Nothobranchius furzeri: one gene and its partners. The protein of the gene in region 1 binds, or shares a complex with, the protein of each later gene. Links are inferred from orthologs where the notes say so. Each region holds a gene or a part of one and is shown in the gene's direction. Other genes may lie near its edges.

What was found. Proteins that work in one complex are often made in the same cells at the same time.
Region 2: ncaph (region 1) and ncapd2 share a complex: the UniProt entries of both Homo sapiens proteins name them as parts of the condensin complex. The link is inferred for Nothobranchius furzeri from reciprocal best matches to the Homo sapiens genes NCAPH and NCAPD2.
Region 3: ncaph (region 1) and smc4 share a complex: the UniProt entries of both Homo sapiens proteins name them as parts of the condensin complex. The link is inferred for Nothobranchius furzeri from reciprocal best matches to the Homo sapiens genes NCAPH and SMC4.

The regions. Positions count from the first base shown.
Region 1 is NC_091757.1:27,688,407-27,696,091, forward strand, and holds part of ncaph (condensin complex subunit 2), read left to right. Parts: intron 1-320; coding exon 321-411; intron 412-1,835; coding exon 1,836-1,928; intron 1,929-3,717; coding exon 3,718-3,835; intron 3,836-4,517; coding exon 4,518-4,663; intron 4,664-6,251; coding exon 6,252-6,441; intron 6,442-6,541; coding exon 6,542-6,624; intron 6,625-7,685. UniProt on the Homo sapiens protein: Regulatory subunit of the condensin complex, a complex required for conversion of interphase chromatin into mitotic-like condense chromosomes.
Region 2 is NC_091745.1:73,740,895-73,748,579, forward strand, and holds part of ncapd2 (condensin complex subunit 1), read left to right. Parts: intron 1-764; coding exon 765-972; intron 973-1,103; coding exon 1,104-1,222; intron 1,223-3,025; coding exon 3,026-3,223; intron 3,224-3,318; coding exon 3,319-3,493; intron 3,494-3,811; coding exon 3,812-3,896; intron 3,897-4,096; coding exon 4,097-4,233; intron 4,234-6,013; exon of another isoform or gene 6,014-6,362; intron 6,363-7,414; coding exon 7,415-7,547; intron 7,548-7,685. UniProt on the Homo sapiens protein: Regulatory subunit of the condensin complex, a complex required for conversion of interphase chromatin into mitotic-like condense chromosomes.
Region 3 is NC_091753.1:52,612,180-52,619,864, forward strand, and holds part of smc4 (structural maintenance of chromosomes protein 4), read left to right. Parts: intron 1-1,509; coding exon 1,510-1,660; intron 1,661-4,126; coding exon 4,127-4,291; intron 4,292-4,373; coding exon 4,374-4,607; intron 4,608-4,681; coding exon 4,682-4,867; intron 4,868-5,734; coding exon 5,735-5,896; intron 5,897-5,964; coding exon 5,965-6,190; intron 6,191-6,265; coding exon 6,266-6,342; intron 6,343-7,685. UniProt on the Homo sapiens protein: Central component of the condensin complex, a complex required for conversion of interphase chromatin into mitotic-like condense chromosomes.

The DNA.
Region 1 (7,685 bases):
GACAATGCGGAACCGGTTCGCAGCAGCGCAAGTCTGCCGGCTCTCCCTCACGCTGATCTGCCGGCTCTACCTCGCGCTGATCTGACTTGCTCTGGTCTGCGCGCAACGGCGGGCGGGAAGGGGGGGGGGGCGCTTTTGGAAGAGTTGTGCGACACAACGAATCGATGACGCAATTCGTTGCCAACGCTTTTAGTAATCGATTTTCATCGAATTTATCGATTCGTTGTTGCAGCCCTAAACTCATCACTGCACACACATCGATCTGCCTGGCTGCCATGCATCTGCAGAAGTTAGTGATGGCCTGCTTTGTTTGTATGCAGTGCTTTGGGGACTCCTGCTGCTATCCCCAAGCTGTCAAATGCTCAAATTTCAGAGCACTACTCGACCTGCATAAAACTTTCCACTGAGAATGTAAGTATTCAGCCTGGGTGAGTAAAATGATAAATGGCCTGCACTTGTATAGTGCCTTTCTGAGTCAGTGGACTACTAAGCTCTTTACACTACAATGCATCATTCATCCATTCACACCCTGGTGGTGATGAGCTACAATGTAGCACAGCTGCTGAGGGACACACTGACAGGCGAGGCTTTCCAAGCACAGTCGCAGGCAAGGTGGGTTAAGTGTCTTGCCCAAGGACACAACAGCAGCATTCCCTGGCAGAGCTGGGAACGAACCTGCAACCAAATGATTACTGGACAACTCGTTCTAACTCCTGAGCTTCTGCTGCATAAAAATAGTAGCTCAAAAGAAACAAACTCATCATGTAGAGGATGGGATAAAATATCTCCACATTCTGGCATGTTTTAAATAGACATGCACCGATATGGCATTTGGACCAATACCGATATCAATATCACTGTAGTGGCTGATACGATATACTAGGGCTGGGCGATACGGCCTAAAATCAATATCACGATACACTGAGGATTTCACCTCGATAACCATAAATGGACGATAATTACAGGTATGCAGAAACAAAAGTTGTCCACTAGATGGGGCTGTCACATGTATTATATTGAGTCACATGCTTGCATGACTCAATGTGGTACAGCTTCTTAAAGGGACATGAACGTTGCCAACCTACTCACATCTTTTCATTTATTATCAAATTTATCGACATGGGAAAAATGATCTTGATAAGAGTCAGAAGTTTCAATAACAATAAATTTTCGATTTATTGCCCAGCCCTACAATATACTGACATTAATGCTTCTAAAATCTGTAGATTTTTTATAGAATACAAATTATTAAAGCTGAATTTACATCATTAAGTACACACATCACACGCATTTACGCTTCTGCGATGATTAAAATAATTGTCACATGACTAAACAAATACACATCACCCCCTCACGCTGAAACAGATAAACAAATGGAACCAAGATGGGAAAAATATTGGTTGTTAATATCGGCCCAGTTTTATTTATCGGACCGTTACCGATATGTTGAGAAAGGACTAACATCGGCTGATACCGATATTATTGCTGATATATTGTCCGTCCCTAGTTTTAAAAATAATCTTCTCTGGTTCCGACGGTTTTGTAGACTCGCAGCGACTTCTCTGTTTTAAAGACACACTGTTATTCATTCTTTTGGCTAAAAGATGTTTTTGGGATTCACCTTACTGAGACAAAATCAAGTTCCATATTTTGTAGATTCTACTAAAAAGTTATGTGCTTCTGACTGCTAGTAACGAACCGCCACGAAATACAAACTTGTAGTTTTAAGTTTGCATTTAATGTTTTGTTAAATAAAACTTTCACTTTTGAAAATTTGAATGAAGACATTCATCCACTGTATTTCTTTTCCTCCTTTTCTTTCTCTTATTTTGTAGAAAATCACCACAAAAAATGCTTTTGGCTTGCATCTGATTGATTACATGGCCGATATTCTAAAGCAGAAGGATTCTGAACTCACCAACTTCAAGGTTTGGCTCTTTTGGTGACTTCTTTGTTTTCTTTTCATTTTTAACTGGCTGAAATGGCAAAGTCCTATTTCTGATGTTTGATTTTGAAACAAGTTAAGAGTAAAGTGTTTCTCACCCTGTGTATTCTTGAAGAAAATGTTTCGGCCCATTTTGAAGTCCAAAACAACGATCTGAATAAATAACCTAGTTTTGCTGAGAAAGTCTTGGAAAATGTTCATCTACAAATAATTTACCTTTAGCAAAGTATAGCATTGATTTTTCATTAATTTAAATGATAATATCTGTTCATATGATTTGCTAAAATCCATCTAAGCATGGAGAGAAGTGTGAACCGTCTGGATTCAAGAGATGCTGCAGAACTGGGACACGGCTTTCGGATTTGATTTCTGAGTTTTTAACAATGTACCGTAAATCCTCTAATACAGGCCTGTATTCAATTAACGGCCGGGTCTCATATTTTGGCCGGTGTCGGAGTCGGCGGAGGTGAATAATGGCCGGTCTCTTATTGTAGCCGGGTGGAATGTGGTAACAAGCAAGTACCACAGGGGGGCGGTTGTGTCATCGTCTCACTTTTGATTTGCCAGTGATAGACCGCGAGAGTAACTTTAACCGTGCGGAGACGAATAGGAGGCGAAAATTTGATATCAAGTTCAAAGAGAACGTGCTGATTATGCTGCAGAACACTGGGAAGCAGTAGGGGTTGTGTGAACTAGTCGACTTCACTATAGGGACTTTTTATGCCTGTCATCGACTAGTCGCTGTCACGTGATAATGACCGGCAAGCTGCAGCCCTCGGAAAAGACAGCAGCCTGCTGTCAGCAGGTGATAAGCTCCTGCGCTCAGGAGGGCAACGCGCTGTGCCAGAGCGTCGGTACTGACACGCGATCATTCATGTCGGTTCATTTCCTTTAATGTTTTCTGTCTTTTATTTGCGCCTGATGTGTTTCGCTGCTGTGGAGCGGGGCACATCACCTTGTCATCCGACGCACCGATCACTGATGCGGCCGCCAAGCAGCGAGCACCCCGCTGTTGTAGCGGTCGGTAGATCTTTTAGAACTGCAGCTCAAAGGTAACTCATAAGGTGAATATATATGAAGGCAGGTAGCAGTTTTTCTTTAGGATTGAGAGGAGATGCAGGAAGATAATAAACAGATACAGGACAGAAAAACAGTCAAATAAAAACAAGTTAGTTTTTGTACCTGGTGGTTGCAACAAACAGACACCATTGAAGGTAATCAGAAGTGAGGAACAGAAAATGAAATAATTATTTTAATGTTTAGAGCAGCAGGAACTCTGAGAGGCTGCAGGCGCATCAGTGAGTTTGCGGCCGCTGCGCGGGGGGAGGGGGGAGAGGGATGAAGCAGGAACTACCGTTGTTAAAAGAAATGTGTTTAACTTTGAAAATGTGGGCGCAATTTTAATTGTCAAAAACTCCAGCGAACCATTAGTTCATTTTGCTCAAATAGAAATTGAGGCCTGCCTCTAATTCTGGTCCTCCTTCCAATAAAGGCCTGGAGCTTGATGAGCTTGAGTCAAATACAGGCCCGGGCCTGTATTAGAGGATTTACGGTAAACATTATTCTTCAAGCAGAAGCTATGTGAAAACTTGTGTATATGAAGGAAGTCCAATCTCTGTGTGTGTGTGTGTGTGTGTGTGTGTGTGTGTGTGTGTGTGTGTGTGTGTGTGTGTGTGTGTGTGTGTGTGTGTGTGTGTGTGTGTGTGTGTGTGTGTGTGTGTGTGTGTGTGTGTGTGTGTGTGTGTGTGTGTGTGTGTGTGTGTGTGTGTAAGGTGGCAGCTGGCACTCTGGATGCTAGTACAAAGATCTACGCTGTGAGGGTGGATGCTGTTCACGCGGATGCTTACAGAGTGCTGGGTGGTCTAGGAGCCGAAACTAAACCTGGCGAGGGTGAGACGGCGGAGTTGTGTGCTGCTCATAAGCATTAGAGTTCAGCTCAGTATGGAAAAGAGGTTTTCTGACTCAGAACATGTGTTGTCATGAGAAATGGGCATAATTCTAATATGAGGATTAACATAAAACACAGTCGTTTGAGTCAAAGCAGGCAAATCTATTTAAACAGCCCTCTCATTCGTGTTAAAATGCAGAATATAGAGGGCTTTTATTTGTGAAGCAGATTCTGAAGTCCAAAAATCACTTTTCCTCACATTTCAACAAACCGCAAGAAGATAAAGAACGGGGCTGTTATCTTTTAAATAAAGCAACAAACTAGTGTAGGGCAGAGAAAACTAATTCACTTTGTCCAAACATGTTGGCGTGTAATCCCAGATAAATAACAATCACTGTTTTATAGATCAGTGGCAAAAGTTCAGGATTAAAAACTGCAGCAGTTGCCATTAAACCCTTGTGTTGTAGGTTTTCTCCTCTGGGTTAGTCCCAGTCAGGTTTCATTCATTCACAAACAACATTTCCTTCTCTGATCAGTGCAGAAGATCATTTCATAAACGCTGTCTGACACTATAGGACCACTCTGGATCTAAAGTTTTTTTGTGCCACAATTTTAAATGTAGCCAGACAGGTCTGCTCTGCGAACATACGCTCCTGTGTCATGTTGAACTCTGTGCTGGTGCAGGCCGTGGAGCAGAAGAGGACGGAGACGATGCAGCTGCAGAAGGAGAAGGCACCGCCAAGCAGCCAAAGAAAAAGAGACCTCCGAAAAAAACCGTAGAGCAGAACCTGAGCAACATCAACAGCACCGAGTCAGAGAGGAGGTGTGAGGTGTGTTCTGGTCTTTCTACACACACACACACACCACTGCTGCTGCGTTCCGTGTTCCTTCTCTAAGGAAAACTGAAAACTGTTGCAATCTTAATCCTAACTCACCTAAAAGCTAGAACTTTTCTCTTGGGCTGTTTAAAGCCTGGCTTCGGTTTGAGAATCTCCCCAGAAGTGTTGAAATATACAGAATGGGGAAATGGTCCCGTTTCCAGGTGTTCGTGATCTTTTATCTGACTAATAGACCCTTTTACTACCTACGTCATCAAAAGTTGCGCGCGTAGCCTGGCAACGAGAGTGAAGGCTTCCTCATTCACACTCGATACTAAAACAGCGTTTGAAACCTTTTGTTTTGAAGTTCTGAGCACATAAAAATGTCGGGTTGTTGCATGTATGGATGCCAGAATCGCTTCTCTTCAAGCAGTGGACTGAAACTTTACAGAATTCCGAAGGGAGCACATCCATTTCAACAAAATCGGGGGCGTCTGTGGCTGCAGGCCATCAAAAGGGTTGATGAAAACTGGACTGAAAACACGATCCGAAATGCTCGAGTTTGTAGCGCCCATTTTATATCAGGTAAGGTAATTATGTACTAAGGTTACACCAGAAAGCTGGTTAACGTGTGTTCTATTAAATAAAGTAAGATGCGTTTGCTGGTTTGCTTTTAAGCAGTCTATTTATTTACAGGTGAGGTTTTCTGTTTTTCCCATCCTAACACAAAGCTCAACTTTGAATAAAAGTGCTGCTGCGTGGCTGCAGCATGACCCAAGTCTGGAACATCAAAATTACAGAATTAAACACATTTATATGCTTTATTTCATGCTTCAAATTAACATTTCATTCTAACTCATCTGTATTTTCTCACTGCATATTAGTATAAACTGTATTTCTCTAAAATTAACACGATTGTACTCTGAGCATGCTAAAAAAAAGAAACCTATGCTATACTCACCCTGCCATGCAGGTACAGTTGGCTGTGAAGACGTAGTTCTCTGGTGTGTTTACTATGACCCAAGCCTCGTACGTAGCAGTCTTGTGTCCTTGTCTTTGGCTAGGAAGGACTTCTGCCTTCAAGACGCAAAACTCAGAGTCTATGTCATGATATTTTACTTTCTGTACGTGGCCACAGACAACATAGTTGTATGCATCTAACGATTTGTATGCCCGTAGCTTCTCACGTGTGTACTTACTGGGCCTCTCCACTAAAAACGTACATATACCGGGCCACTGGATATCGGGCCACGCACCTACATCTTCCACCCATTCCGTAATGCCACAGGGATCCGGGAGTCTGTTGCCATTCGTTAAAGTGAGTTTAATAATGTAACATTCAAGATTTGCCGGTGATAACCCCGCAGCGTAGCTTTATAAAGCCTGACACAACGACATTCTCTGTTGCCAAGCTGCGCGCGCATTCTCGCTGACGTCATATTGTTTACAAACAGTAAAAGGGTCTATAAAAACCAGGTTTTGTGAAACGAGACTGCTCAGAGGAGCAGACAGTTAAACTCCTGGCCGTTGGAACGGATATGTTATTTCACCAAGTTATTGGTCATTTGATTCATGCAAATGTGTTAATGTCTATGTGCAGGTGGACCCCATGTTTCACCGCATGGCTTCATCCTTCGATGAGACCAGCACAGCAGGGGTGTTTTTGCCGGTTCTCTTCAGTGAGAGCAGTCGCTGTGAGCTGCTCTTTCCCTCCCACCTCACCCTCCTGCAGTCCCGACCGTCCTACTCCCCTCCACCTCCACACAGAGTCCCCGCAGCACCCTTCAAGGGTAAGACGGATCAAAGCCTTCTTGTTGCTTGTACGGTCTAATGTTTGTGCACCAATGTGTCAGATTTGGTTACAAAAGCTTTATGTTGGAATTTCACCAGCTGGACTGCAGCATTCCCAGGAAAAATGCTCCATCTGTCCCTCGCTGCAGGATTTCTCCTTCACCAGCTGGAACCCTGAGCAGGTAAAGAACGGTTGTGATCGATTCTGTCAGAGTTGGCCGTCTCATCTCCACTTGTCCTACTAAAGACTCCATGAATCCGTCTGATTGTTGGGATTTATTTAGTGGGACAGGATAAAAACCGGTTGCTCAGCAGACCAGTACATCACACCAGTCCCCGCTTAAGCTGCCCGTTACCGCTGACTGGGTGGTCTTGGACCACGTGTCCGCGGAGTCTGAACGGCGGTTACAGATTGGTCACTTAATTTAAGGACAATGAAGACCCTTCAAAAGTCTGGTGGCATCTTTCTAGAATAAGTTTTTTAACGCTTTGGGATCTGGATAGCATGGCTTTACGTTCCGCCTCTCCAGACGCATCATTTCCGGTTTATGTCGAGTCAAGCTAAGCTGCCAGGTCCAGCTGAGTAAGAAGATTCTTGGCAGACAGAAAAAGTTGGGAGTGTTTTATTTGTGTTTTCCTGTTTTTAATTAGAGACGCTTCATAAACGACATGGTGTCTCATAAAGGGTTAGAGTCATTTACAGGGTATCCGCGGGTCCTTACAAAGTCTTAAATTTGCTTTTCTAAATTTAAGGCCTTAAAAATTACAAATAATCCTTAAATACAGTTTCCAAAGGTCTTAGATTACCAAAGACCCTATGAACAAGAATTTCTAGTTAGTTCAGCATTTTTTGTGTACGATGTTGGCGTAAGCGTAACCGTACACATTCAGTTGGTTGTGAAAGGGGGCTATTTTTAGATGAGCACATTAGCTGGTTAAGCTAGTGGGAGCTTGCGCCATGGGGAAGTGCAAGTTTAATGGTAACTGGGTGGCTAATCCCACGTTCGTGACGTGGTTAGCACCGGTTCCAGGCAATAGCTGGAAAATATAGCTTAAAATTAATTTAAAAAATAGCTTAAATTTGGTCAAAGTGGCCTTAAAAAAGGTCTTAAAAAGTCTTAAATGTGGCTCCCTTAAACCTGCAGATACCCTGCATTTACTTTGACTCATTTTCATAAGTTTTGCTTTGGTTCACGTTTTATTTGCTAAGTAGATTTTTTCCTGTTATCTTCTAGAATCACAG
Region 2 (7,685 bases), on another chromosome or scaffold:
TGTGATCTGTGGGGGAAACCGGAGCACCCGGAGGAAACCCACGCATGCATGGGGAGAACACGCAACCCCACGCAGAAAGGCCGCAGCTGAGTTTCGAACCTGCAACCTTCGTGCTGTGAGGCAACAGTGCTAACCACTGTGCCACCATGCAGCCAAGTTTTCTTTAAGGTTAGGGTTAGGACTAGATCAGCGTTGGGGTTAGGGTTAGGGTTAGGGTTAGGCATGGTGAAATCACAAAAATGAATGGAAGTCAATGGAGGGTCCTCACTATGGTAGAAAGGTGTGTGTGTGTGTGTGTGTGTGTGTGTGTGTGTGTGTGTGTGTGTGTGTGTGTGTGTGTGTGTGTGTGTGTGTGTGTGTGTGTGTGTGTGTGTGTGTGTGTGTGTGTGTGTGTGTGTGTGTGTGTGTGTGTGTGTGTGTGTGTGTGTGTGTGTGTGTGTGTGTGTGTGTGTGTGTCCAATTTGCTCTTGCTGATATGCTATGAAATATTTTTTTTCCAATTCTGATTCACATCTAAATTCAGCATCCCGGTCCAATTACTTAGTTGAGATGTTTTTTGATCAGAAATGGGGGGAAATAAAGTCTTTTCTATTTTGTTCATGTCCGCTTTAAAAATGTCACTTTGTCATTAATTAGGGGGTGAAGGCACATGCCTCCTGTTGCTATTTTAATTGGTCAATGCATTGTTTGACATTTTCTTTGCAGCTTTAGCATGAGTTGCTGTCACAGTATTGGAATATATATTTTCCGTTTTCTTCCTGCAGTGGCAGTGATCAAAGCGTCTGAGCTGTGGGCTGCCATGGAGCCTGAGCTCCTTGAAACAGCCAGGACAGCTCTGGAGCCCACGAGTGAAACGGAGAGAGAGGAGCAAGAGGACGAGGAAGACGGGGATCCGGAGGAAGAAAAGCCAGCAGAAGACGACAGAGCAGCTGCACTGAGGATAGCTCAGTTCCTTCGTGTCAACAAATACAGGTAATGCTAATCACCTGTGGAGACCTGAGTGAAAACAGACCCATCAGGGTTATTAAAGTTATCCAGCATCACACGATGTCACACGTACACACATTTGACGTGATTATCTGTGCACCTCCATCTTTCTGTAGGAAAGCTGTTCAGCTGTGTATACGAGCTCACAGTAGCTTTCCTGAATCTGAGATGTTTGCCTCCTTGTCTACACTCACCCCTGACAATCTGATGGATGCAATGGCGTTCATTTTTAAAGGTAAAACATGGATCTCTTGGAGTTCTCAGAGGAAGCAAAATTAGCCAAATAAACGTAATCCTGGTCGCTTTGGTTGATGAAATGTTTTTACGTTGACATTTCTATAATATTTGTCTTTTTAATGAAGTGAATTACAGATGTGGTTAAACTAATCTAGTCAGACGGCGCAGATGTCCACCAGCACTGTGCCTAACTGTTCAGTCGTAACCGCGGAAACAAGCAAGCAGTTTAATTCATGCATGTTTTTGTCTCGATGAGATGTCAGTTCAATTAATCTTGTTTAAATTGCTCCCATAAATTATAACATTATGGCCGACAGGCAGAAATAAATCAGTGCTCGTCTTATTTAAAGGGGCATTATGGAAGTTTGACAGCTAAAACATGTATAGAAATAATAAATGTCTTCTTCATACATTCTCCTGCAATGCCCTGGTCCTGTAGAATGAGCCCTGGCATTTTTACTGTGATTGCCTGTTTTTCTGTAAAATCACAGAAAAAGAGAGATGCTCGGGTCGAGCAGGCTGCTTAATGCACGTTCACGCTCAGGCATAGCCCGTAGCGTTTGCTATCCGTAGCTTTAGCAGCAGAGAGAGAGGTAGTGCCACTTTGTCGCTGTTCCTAACGCCTAGTGATGAACCTAGCTACATTTCTGAGGACCCTTAGTTACTTTCTTCTAGATATTTCCTGCAAATTAGCAACAAAATAGCCATTTTCGCTCCAAACCGTTCTTTGGTTTGACATTTCAGGTGTCATCAAGGGTATAAAAGTTACAGATACCTTGAATGCTACTAGAGTGTAGCTCACCTTGTAAGATGTCTGACTCTCATGCAAAAGACCTGGGTTTGAATCTGGTTGTGAACATAGTTCATTTAAGTTTCCTTTTTACATTAATGGTATATTTTTTTACAGTAAGATGCCCAAATTTTTATTTGAGACTCGCCGAACGGCATTGAATTCACAGATAAAAAAGATGTGGGTTCAACTTTCATTTTGGAACAATTTTTCAAGCAAGGGAAGGGAATGATCTGAGCATGCAGGAGGACTGACCCATCTTAAACCTTTGTCGGCTGTGCTGAAGAGAAAGGTACAGAACCAAATTATTTAATTAATTAGCTGCATGTTCTCCTGTCCTCCGACACACACACACACCATCACACACAAGGGACTGTCTCAGCTGTTATTTTCGTTAAGGAGTGTGCACGTACAGCATGCGCACCTCGTGCACGAGCCTACTATTGAAGCTGCCGTTACGCTTTTGGCCTGAGGGGGCAATCACGAGCATAAAAATTCAAAACTCCGTAAAGTTTCTTTAAAGAGAAAGCCCCCCCTCAAAATTTAGCAACTCAGCACCGCTCTCTCCGCCAGGCGACGCCTCCTTTTGGAGCATTTTTTTTAAACCAGAAGTGTGTGTGGAGTTCGACTCGGGTAAGAGTTGACGTACTCTCCTTATGGGCGTTGCCTTGACGTTTGCCATGCTGCACCACAGAGCAGTACCTCCCTACAGTCTGAGTTCACCCCATCCCAACTCCACTTTCAGTCCGAAACCCTTCCACAATGACCCCTAAAGCCTTTCTGCTAATGTTTCCATTCCAGACTTCCCAGGTGGCCGTAATGTTATTATGGATCATAAAAGTAAATGAGTTTTTATTTTGACATGAGTGATCACTTCCTTCCTGCTGGTATTTAGTTTGATCTAAAAGCGTGAGATTTACAGAAAGCTTGTAAATGTTGTGGAGGGTTTATTTTAACGCGCCAGCTGACGCGGTTCCGCTGTCAGTAATTAATCCACGGTGTTCCCCTCAGGCTCCGGTGAAGATTCCTCTGAGCTCAGCCAGAATCTGCCACCTACCCCTGTAGAGGAAGAGAAAGAGGGGGAGGATGGCGAGCTGAAAAAGCAGGAGATGCTTGTGCAGTACTTGAGAGACACAGAAACTTTTGCCTTACAAGTGGAGAGAGCAATTTCTGTCATCAACAACATGCTCTACTGGAAAATAACCTCAGGTAGACGGTCTCGTCCACTGACGTCTCCGTTTGTCATTTCAGTGTACTAGAGATGAAGTAGCACAGTCTGAGATTTAGTTTTTGTTTATTCTTAGTGGTCCAGGAAGCAGTGCAGTTCTGTGTGACTGTGTGCGAGTTCAGTGTTGCTAACTCTATTAGCGGCGTGAGGAAGATGCTACCTCTGGTCTGGTCCACTGATGCGGCCATTAAAGACGCCGTCGTTCAGGCCTACAGACGCCTGTATCTGAACCCTCAGGGAGACACGATCAGGTCTGTTCCGCTGCTTTTTCACTATTTAATGATGAAACCGTTCCGTTCCTGTTCCAGGGTATCTGCGGGTCCTTAAAAAGTCTTACATTTGGCTCCCTTAAACCTGCAGATACCCTGTGTTCACATTCTTCATACTTGGGTTTAACAAGTAGGTTTGGTTAATGGCTTCACTTCTTATACCTTTCACATAAACCCGTAAACATTTTGTTTGCCTTCTGGATTGTTTTGCAAGCATGTAGAATAAAATCTGGGCCAAAATGAAAATCAAATAGGACGTAGTACGTGGTGAGAACCATGTCTGTGTGGTGTTTTTGTTAGGATGAAAGCCCAGACTCTCATCGACAGCCTCTCTGAACTGATGGTGGATGCATCTCTGGGAACCATCCAGTGTCTTGAGGAAATAGTGAGTAATAATTACTCGCGTATGAATCATTTAAATCTTTTTTATTTCTGCACCCTTATAAAAGCACATTTTTGCATAATGCTGGGGAGCATCTAAATGTTCCACAGTGTGCACTAAAGGGATTTTCTATGGAGATGTTTTGAATGTAAACGCTTGAAGCCTATAAGGAATGGTGTAACTGTGCATTCATGTCTCCGTAGGTGCAGGAGTTCTTTGGCAGCGGCAGCAATCTCCAGTCCACGGTGATTCAGGTCTTGTGGGAGAGATTTACCGGAAAACGCGAAACGTCGGTCTTACACAAGAGAGCTGCGGTGCTGCTGCTGGGCATGGCTGCACGGTAAACTCCTGAAGCCTTTTGTCCTCCTGCAATACACAAAACATCTAAATAAAGTTTTGTTTAAGTCTGCTCAGACTGTCAAACGTGACTACATCCACTGTGACCTTAGTGTGATGTGTTGTTCATGTAGCAGAGCTAATGAAGGATTCAATTCAATTTTATTTATAAAGCGCCAAATCACGACAAGAGTTGTCTCAAAGTACTTCACATAGTAAACATTTCACTTCAGGTCAGTTCATTAAGCCAATCAGAAATAATGTTTCCTATATAAAGAACCCAGCAAATTGCATCAAGTCACTGACTAGTGTCAGTGACTATACAGCAATCCTCATGCTAAACAAGTATATAGCGACAGTGGAGAGGAAAACTCCCTTTTAACAGGAAGAAACCTCCAGAGGATCCTGGCTCAGTATAAGCAGCCATCCTCCACGACTCACTGGGGATGGAGGAGACCGAGCACGCACACACACACACACACACACACACACAGCAATGTGTCTATGGTTACATTGTGATTGCTTAGTAAATATTGTATTTAGCGAGAGATACACTTTATTGTATGTATCCTAGTGGATCTATGATTAAACGGATAAACTAGTAGTAGCACATCCAACGTCAAGGAAAGCAAAAAGTTATTATCAGGAGAGGGAGAATGTTTTAGTGGTTAGCAGCAGTGTGTTAAGCCTGGTTTATGCTTCTCCGTCAGCTCCGCAAGGGACAGACACGCACGGATTGACGGAAGCGTTTTGCTCTTTTACTTCTCCGTCTCCTGGAGAGTGTTGCAAAGCAATTGCCCGGCAGGACAACAGAGGGCGTAGCGCTGTTCTGTGGTATCCTGTCATGTATCGGTCCAAGATCGTTTGTTTATATTGTGTTTTTTGTGTATATAAGAGACTTTCAACACGGACATATTTGTCTCTCATTCTCCCACCGCTTCTTGCGCTCCCCACCTCTAAACCCACGTTTCCTGTCATTTCCGTCCACAAATAAAACGCTTGCTGCGCATCTTTTCACTTCTCCAGTCACGGGAGGATTAAACGTTCATATTTTTAGAGTTTTTTCGCGAGGTATTCTTCAAGCTTCTCCGTGTCTGCCGCTAGTTAAACTCGGCTCTCTTTGCAATGGCGGCGCTGTAAACAAAAGTGGCGTCCTGACCAATCACAAGCTTGCGTAATCCGTCTCATTCGACGGATGTTTAAAAAAGTGGGCTCGACTCCGTACGTACTTGCGTGCCTGCCGGGGCCCTACACAAGGACGGATAATGGCGTTGCGTTTGCTCCGCACTGACGCAGACGGAGAAGCATAAATCAGGCTTTAGACGATGGGGCCACCACAGCTCAGCAGAACATCATTGTAGCTTCTTCTGGGAAGAAAAAACACTTAGAGAAAAAATAAAGTTAACAGCTGAAATTGCAGAAAATAATACAGTTAAAGAGCAGATTGTAGAAGAAAGTAGTCAAGTGTGAAAAGTGGTCAGTGTATCCTCCAGCTGGTGCTCTTGTTTCAAGTAGAATTCAGCCAGCAGAGAGGGGAGCAGCAGACAGCAGGTTTTGGCATATTACTTCCTGTTGTCTGTGAAGGTTCTTACTTATTACTTCCTGTTATTCGGACATCTCTTCTCTGATTGGCTAACAGCAACACGACTCGCATATGGATAAAAAGTGGTTCTAGTTTAATTTCATTCATTACAGTCTACAAGCTAAAATATTAGCTTTTCAAGCGTCTCCTGTGCTCCGCTTTGAGAAAGCGTTGTTTGTTTTTGATGTTTCCTTTGCCTTTTGCCCGGTGATGAGACCAAGGCGAATACGAGCTCACGGAACGAGAGCTGGGTCCTTTTTGCTTTGACTGGCGGGTAATCTTGGTAGTGCAGAGGAGGATTTCTGCTCTGCTGTAAGGGCCTGCCGACAGCAACTTGGCTCAACCCAAATTATTCCTCTACAGTCTTAGAGGAGTCATTTCTTGGGGTGATGCTGACAGTGTGTGTGTGTGTGTGTGTGTGTGTGTGTGTGTGTGTGTGTGTGTGTGTGTGTGTGTGTGTGTGTGTGTGTGTTTGCAAAAGGCAAAAAGTTCACCCATCCCTCTTTGCCGTTCCGTGAACGATGAGTTTCTTCTTTGGTAATCTGAGGGCAGAATCTTTCTCTAAAGCTATTTTCGATGTTTACCTTCACAAACTCATGGCTGCTGAATTATTCATGGCAAACTGACTCTGTTTGCAACGTTGATGTTTCCGTTTTCACAAATGAAACAAGTCTGAAGGAGTTCTGCTGTGTGGTGGAGTTGATAATGCTAACAGTTAGCTTCTACTGGCTGAGATGCTAAGTCATCAACGGCTCCCTGTCGCGAGCCAAGCTGGGTGAGTTCATGAATGCTAATTTACAGGGCGGCGTAGATCTGAGTGTTTTCCTGTCTTTTCTGTCGGCGGCTAAAATCAGGAAAGCGGGGTAGAAGACTGTTTTCAGGTTTAGCCTGCGTGCAAACTCAGTCACCGATCATATTTATAAAAAGCTAAACAGTTTTTCAGTGAACTTGGTCTTTACATTTTTCCTTCAAAATAAAAAACAAAATCTTTCTGGCAATTAAGACTTTTAGTGAAGGAATTAAACAGACAGAATCAGTAACTTTACTTTATTTCCAACTTGATTAGTCATTTAAACAAACTAATCTGGGCACCGAACATTATTTCTGTTTATCACATTCCACAGGCTTTGGTTTTTACCTGTTGGTAGGGAAAAAACCTACATCAGGTGCTGTTGCTGTCTTGATAATAACCCGTTTCAGTCCGGCCTCAGCGACTTAAAATTCAGCAAATCCTCATTAGGCAGAGCACAAGCCCAGCCTCTGCTCTTCTTCGCTGTAATCGAAGTCACGACCGAATAACCAGGCTTCTAGCCAGGACCTTTTCTATTAGAGAGTAAAGGGTATCTGCAGTCTGCCCACACTGCTGCTTCCTCATCCAGCATCGGCAGAACTCATAACCTATTAAACCTTCCGTGCTTTTCCTAACTTGCCCTCCTACGTGCATTATCCAGGCACACAGGCGAGGCCAGCATGGAGTCCATGGGGTGATGGAGGGCAGTGTTATTACCTGGTTTTGCATAAAGATGTGGTCATTAGGGAATAAAAAATGTAAGCTTTAGCGTGGTGTTCTTTTAAGTGTGTATGCTGTGTGCAACTGTAACAGGGAGGAGCGAGAGGTGGTGCTCAGTAACTTGGACACACTTTGTTCAGTGGCTCTGGGAGAAAAAGTGACTGAAGACTTCCTTCTAGCAAGAGACACGGTTCTGACCATCTGCAGCATCACTGACCACGTCAGGGTAAGAGTGTCAGCCATGTTTTGTTTCCATCTCAGTTAAGTGTGCCCGACCCCTACCTAGCATGTTTTAGATGTTTCCTAGTTTTAGTACACTTGATCTGCATCATTGGTAGGGATGTTCCCATCACATTTGTTTGCT
Region 3 (7,685 bases), on another chromosome or scaffold:
ATTGTGCCCTGAGCAATTTTATGACTGAATAAAAACAAATAAAATCATCATAAATTGAAAAATCGTCCTAAATAATCGTGATCTCAATTTCAGTCACTAAAATCGTGATTATTATTTTTGCCATAATCGAGCAGCCCTACCTTCTGCTGTTTCTAACTACTAAAAAATTTTTGATTTCCTGCTAATTAAGTAATTTTTGTCATTTGAATCGTTTTTAATCACGTTACCTGTCGAGATGAATAAAGTTTTATTGGATTAGGTTGGGTCGTGGTTGTTACCTGCTCCTAATGTGGTGTTGAGGATAATTTAAGTTTTGCTTAAATGTAAATATGTTTTTTTGAAAGTTACTCCCAAAAAGATGTTCTTTAAAGAGCAAGTCACCCCCAAATCTACTTTTTTTGCTGATAAACTATTTAAACGAGTGTCTAATCGTGCTGTAGACGCGTGTATTCAGTAATTTGGCACTTCAGTGCATCTTAGTTAAAATTTAAATATTCAGCCTATAACTGTCAGTGTTGCGCTGTCGTCAGGTAAAACCTCTGCACTGTATTTTAATTTAAATCTGCCACAGCTATTGGCTAAAGCTTGGTTTATGCTTGACGCATTCACTTTCCGCTTGGTGATGCGGCTCGCGGATGGAACGCGCTTCACAACTTGCAGTGTTTATGGTTCATGCGGCTTGTCTCTGCGGTGAGACAATATTCTCCCAAACTGTAGGGGGCAGCATGGAGCTCTACGGCATGCATCCAACACTACACCATAGTAGAAGTAGAAATGACTGTTGTTTACAACATGGCATTCCAGCATTTTTTAACAGCGTCCTCGTCTTTTCCGACAGTGCGAGCTATTTCTCTCCAAGAATTATTAACCTGTTGATCACGGTGATCTCTGAGAGCTGAATCATACAAATGTCTGTATTTACAAACCTCTGCCATACTAGTTCTTGCCAGTCCGCCATGTTTTTCTGCGTCCAACCGTCCGCGTGGTTAGAAAAATTCCTGGTTGCGCGGTGCGGAAAGTTTGGGCCGTGCAGAGGTGCGGTGGAGGGGCGTGGTTGTCAAAATGACGCAGCTTTCCGCGCGGAGCCGTGAAAACCTAGCGGACGCGTCAAGCATAAACCAACCTTAAGAAGAATGCTATGATGTTAACTGATACATTATGATGTCACAATGCTGTTGTGAGCCTGTGTGTGTGTGTGTATTTGTTAGCGGCTCCGCCCTCTCGGTCTGCTAGGCAACAGCATTTGTTGCATTTGTCAAACAGGAAGTGGGAGTGGAGTAAGACTCTGGTGGGGGTGACTTGCTCTTTAATATTTTTTATAGTTTTCTGTTTTGACTCATTACCTTTATAAGTAACTTATCAGTTAACTGAACAGAAATGTTCTTTAAAATCTAGAATATTTGCTTTTTTAACTCGAACATCTTTTTGGTTTTAAATAGTTATGTTTCATAAATAATTTAGAGGGGTTTGATTCGGCTTACTCAGTAAAATGTTGTTTTTTCCCTTCAGAAAACAAAATGAGATCAACAAGTACATTGAGACCCAGAAGGAAAAGTTCACCCAGCTGGACCTGCAGGATGTTGAAGTGCGTGAGAAGATCAAACACTCCAAGAGCAAGAATAAGACTCTGCAGAAGCAGCTGGAAAAAGACAGAAAAAAGGTGTGTTGGCCTTTAAAATGCTCAGTGGTTTCATTTCCACTTGCTGTGACGGATTTCTACTAGATAAGTGATGTCACTCTGGTATAAATAACCCCGCAGCAACACCGATCAAAGGCACTGAGACACACAAAAAATAAAAAGCAACATTTTTCCCCAAAATCTGTAGCATTAATAAATGTAACATTAGCTGCACTAGCGATAGCAGCAGTGTTAGCTTGTTTTGGGCCAAAAAGAAACTCGAGGAGGAAAAAATAACGTTTGTGCCGTTCTTAGTCTGTTGAGTTTCTAACCAGATTTCTTCAAACCACTTTTGTTGTGAAAATGATGACATTTTTTATTATTTTTGAACAAAAACAATACAAATCAGGGAGAAATGAAGCAGAAATATTAATAAAGGTTTGTTGGTCGGTTTGAAGAAAAGCGTAAAGAAGCCGACGCTTCTGGGATTTTTTTTCTCGATACCATTTTGATCAAAAGCTTCTAGTTTAACTGCTGTGGATGGTTATCGTTTATTAAACAAATATAAAGTATTATCTTTAAGCTCATTGAAATTTAGATTAATGATCCCAGATCTGCACACTATCTGAGCTGAAGTGGAGAACAGGAATGTTTCTTGGTTCAAATCCTTTTATTACGATGTGTCTGATTATGTAAAGATGTTTACAGTTTTGTCTGCTTTTACCATAGAAAATGAATCTTTAATGTAAACTGGCTTCATCCACAGGATGCAGTAACGCCATTTAAATCTGTAGGCCAGCGTTCATGACAGGAAGCTGTCTGACGTAAATGAGCCACTAGGGGGCTCTGAAGCAACACACGGCCAGCTTCAGATGGGTGCTCTCCCAAGGAAAAGATTCATACTTGTGTGTTCCACACGCTCCATAATAAACTGAGAAACACTACTTAAGAGATTTTTCTCTAAGACTTTGTTCTATGGAAGGTTTTTAGTCAGGCAGAGGCAGGCCGACCTCTGGGAGCAGCATTCTGCTGGGTCGTCCACTATGGCCCGGCTCCCTGCAGCCACAAACCCTCAGCTGACCTACAAAGCAGTGGGTTAGCCATGCTAAGCTAAGTCTGAATCAGGGCTAGTTTAGTCCTGGTTGTGTGTGTGTGTGTGTGTGTGTGTTACACCTTTTTTTATTTGCTCACTTTGTTTATTTTTATTTCTACTATATTAGTTTAATCGTGGTTTTTATTTTAATTCCTGCATATTGAAGCCCTGGTCACAGATTTGTTTCCAGCGAGCTAATAGATGGTGATTATTAAGAAAACACGTGTTCCTAAAACATTCGCTGATCGTCAGATGAATGCAGAATGACACGTGTGTGTGTCGTGATTTTCAGTTGTTAGTTTCTAATAGGCCTGCACAATATATCGTAAATAAATCGTTATCGCGATATCAGCATGCACAATATGCATATCGCTAAGAACAGATAAATATACATGGTCAGCTCAAATGTTTGCTACACGTAATGCCTTCTGTCAGTCAAACGTCAGCATGATGTATTTTTAACAAATCAAATGGAGCTCTTCACCCATTTGGCCCGTTGGGTGGGTTCTCATAGGTCAGATGCCCCGCCCCCGAGGCGGACGGCACTTCATTTTGATGGTTAGCAAACACCTGAGTTAGCTTTGTTCTGCTCCTTTTGCTGATTCTGCTTTTCCCGGGATCCACTGATCGCCTTTAGTTCATTTTTTCCCTTTCCTCACATCTTTTGCTTTTCTCATTTTTATGATTTTTTAAATTTCGTTGTTTTTGATTATTTTTGTTCATGAGTTAAGTTTTTATTTACCGCAAATAATATCGTCATTGCAAAATTAATCACTGTTATCAAATGTCGCAGGTTAAAGTTAAAGTCCCATTAGTGTCACACACACAGGTGTGTGTGCGAAATTTGCTCTCCGCATTTGACCCATCCCCTGGGGGAGCGGTGAGCTGCAGACACGGCCGCGCTCGGGAACTATTTGGTGGTTTCACCCCCCCCCGATCCAACCCCTTGATGCTGAGTGTCAAGCAGGGAGGCATTGGGTCCCATTTTTCAAAGTCTTTGGTATGACCCGGCCAGGAATCGAACCCTGATCTCCCAGTCTCAGGGCGGACCCTCTACCACTAGGCCACTGAGCAGGTTTTCCTAATATCGCGCAGCCTTAGTTTCTGACATGTTCCGGTGTTAGAGGTCTTGTGATGCTAGAGGCGTGCCTGCTGTAGCGTGGGACATAATTACGAATGTCAGTCGGACCTCTTTTTGTGCCAAATGATGGAAACACAATTAAAAAGTACGCATCGGTGACAGAATAAAAGTATAAATATGGAAACTGCATCTACGGCTGGGGAAGAAAAACAAATCTTCCTGCTTTAAACTTCTCAGTCTTTATTTGTGACCGAGTGTTTTAGCAGTTGATCGTGAACACGTGTGACCTGTTCCTCATGATATCAGATGCGTCGTCTCTGTTTTTGTTTTTTAGCTGGAGGAAGTGCGCAGTGTACCGGCCAATAGTGAAAACGCCATCACCGAGGCAACGAGCCGCAAGGACGGCCTGGAGAAAGAAAAAACAAAAGAAGAAGAAAAACTGAAAGAAGTGATGGAAAGTCTTAAAGAAGAGACCAGCGGGTTGCAACAGGACAAAGAGGTCGGAGCATGTTCATTATTACTCTTCTTGTTAAACCCAAGCCTTTGTTTGCCGACATCCTCTCCACTCCGGTTCTTTCCAGACAAAAGAGAAGGAACTAATGGAGCTCAGCAAAGCCGTAAACGAGACCCGTTCTTGCGCGGATCTGGCCCAGTCAGAGCTCGACATCTATCTTAGCCGCCACAAAACCGCTGTGACGAACCTCAACGCGGCCAAACAGACGCTTCAAACAACAACCGAGACTCTGCAGGAACGCCGCGCCGCAATCAAAGACCTGGAAGTGCAAATACCCCAGAAGGAGCAGGAACTCAACAAGGTACAGTCGAGGAGCGTTTGTGTGGTGGCTTTTACCCACGAGCTTCTGCTCTGATGAGTTATTTATTCCTGCAGGATCAGGCTGAGCTGGAGCAGCTGATGAAGACGGACAACGAGACCAGGGAAGTAGTGAGGGAACTGAGGCAGAAGGTCGATGAAGCCAAGAGCTCGCTGTCCTCCAACCGCAGCCGAGGGAAAGTTCTGGACGCTCTGATGCAGCTGAAGAAGAGCGGCAGGATTCCTGGCATCTACGGAAGACTGGTAATCAGTTGTTTTTGGCAGCCATCTTGGTTTTAGTCTTTTGGACAAAAATGCATTTTGGTTTTGGTCGAATAAAAATCAAAAAGCTTTTAGTTTTAGAGAATTTAGTCTAACAGATGAATTTATAGGTCACACACGTGCTCTGAGCATCGTTTATATTCGAGCTAAAGGAGATTAGACCATCTCAGCTGTCCAGTAAAACAATCATCTGTTTTATTCTTAATCACTCAGCTGTATCTAATTCATGTAGTGATGCAGATCCGGTCAGGTTGTGTCCTTCATCTGCACCACAGCAGCGTGTAGATGCTCGTGAACATTTAGGTGACCTAGGATAAACAATCCTGACAAACTGACTCTTAAACGTGTTAAAAACCGTCATTTCTCTCATTCATCTACCCCAGAAACATCGCGTTTTCAAGAAGCATGAGTAATAAACGTGTTACTATTACAAATATAAGTAAAAGTAGCCTCATGATCGCTTGTAGCTCTAATTGTTTACTTCCTGAAGCGTCCGTGTTGAGCGATGCGCGTTCCCACTTTTGCAGAGAGGCAGAACGCACGCTCTGCTGCGCGGTGGTGGGACCTGCAGACCCGGGGATCGCAGCAGCAGCGCTGTAACGCTTAGCTTTTGTAAGACGGGCACAAATGTTCATCTAAGCATAACTTTTGTCGAGTTTCATGTTTTAGTCACCAAAGAGCTATTTTTAGCTCGTCTCGTTTTCATTTGGAGAAAAGGAGGCGTCAACAAAACCCTTTAGTCACCGTCGACGAACACGACACAAATTCTGTTTTCAGTATTCACTCACACACACACACACACACACACACACACACAGAGCAGTAAGTACTGTGTTTCTGTGACTGTAGGGAGACCTTGGAGCCATAGATGAGAAGTACGACGTGGCCATCTCCTCTTGTTGTGGCGCTCTGGACAACATCGTGGTGGATACCATCGACACTGCTCAGAAATGCGTCACCTTCCTGAAGGAACAGAACATCGGTGTGGCCACTTTCATCGGTCTAGACAAGGTAAAAAGGTTTTACACCTTCAGTCACAAAGACCGCGACGAAACTTCCTTTGTTCTTCGTGTTCTCAGATGAAGGTGTGGGAGAAGAACATGGCTCCCATTCACACGCCAGAGGACAGCCCTCGCCTGTTCGACATGGTGCGAGTGAACGACGAGGGCGTGAAACCAGCTTTCTACTTCGCCCTGAGGGACACGCTCGTAGCCCAGGACATGGAGCAGGCCACGAGGATGGCGTTCCAGAGGGACAAGCGCTGGAGGGTGGTCACCTTGAAGGGACAGATCATCGAGATGGCCGGTCGGTGTCTTCTGACAGAAGTCTGGATTCATCAGTGAGCTCAAGTCTTTAAGCTTCTTCTGGTGTGTTTCACAGGAACCATGACTGGAGGAGGGCGGGTGCTGAAAGGCCGAATGGGCTCTTCTATTGGTGCTGAGGTCTCTCAGGTGGAGGTGAGTCTACATCGTCACAAATCTCCCAACACTTTGTTTAATCATGATTTATTGCTTTTTAAATCACAAATACTTTAGCTGTGACCCTAACGAACACTCAATATAATCACATAATAAATAACCCGTGCCTGTAAACCGTTACTAGAGCGAAATAAAAAGTTTTATTTATTCTAACGGGTCTTCCAGGCTGTACTGTGAGACCTCTTCAAATGGTCCAGAACGCAGCGGCGCGTCTGGTCTTCAATCAGCCAAAAAGAGCACACGTCACCCCTCTGTTCACTGAGCTCCACTGGCTACCGCTAGCAGCACGCATCAAATTCAAATCGCTAACACTAGCATACAAAGTCCGAGACGGTACGGCTCCCATCTACCTGAATCCTCTTGCAAAGGCTTACGTCTCGGCCCGGCCGCTCCGGTCATCACAGGATCGTCGGCTAGCAGTGCCTACACCACGCTCAGGACAATCCAGACTCTTCTCATGCATCGTTCCACAAATGTGGAATGACCTTCCTAACACTACCAGAACAGGGGCTTCCTTTTCAATTTTCAAGAAACTCCTGAAGACCCTGCTCTTCAGAGAGCATCTTCTAAACTAGCACCCTCCCTGCACCCGCCCCCCCTCTCTACTGTCCACTCCTTGTTCCCTCCTCTCCATGATTGATGTCAAGTTGTTGTTGTTATTGTTGTTGTTGTTAGCCTCAAGGGCAACATGCCGATTATCACTTGTTAAGCCTGATTCATGCCTCTGCGTCTCTGCGGAGACACGCAACGTCCTTGCGGGCCTGCCGGAGAGCTCCGCAAGGACAGACGGAGTCGAGCTCTCTTTTCTAAACATCCGTCCGTCGAGACGGACAACGCAAGCTTGTGATTGGTCAGGGTGCCGCTGTTGTCTACACCGCCGCCATTGCGCCCTCAAAAACAAAGAGAGCCGAGGATAAACTAGCGGCAGACATGGAGCAGCTTGAAGAACACCTCGCGAAAAAACTCTAAAAACATGAACGTTAAATTCTCCCGTGACTGGAGGAGTGAAAAGATGCGCAGCAAGCGTTTTATTTGTGGACGGAAATGACAGGAAACGTGGGTTTAGAGGTGGGGAGCGCATGAAGAGGGGGAGGAGGATGAGGGACAAATTCGTCTGTGTTAAAACGTCTCTTATGTACAAAAAAACCAACATAAACACACATCTTGGACCGATACATGACAGGATACCACAGAACAGCGCTACGCCCCCTGCTGTCCTGCCGGGGAATTGCTTTGCAACACTCCAGGAGACGGAGAAGTATGAGGGGAAAATGCTTCCGTCAATCCGTGCGTGTCTGTCCCTTGCGGAGCTGACGGAGACG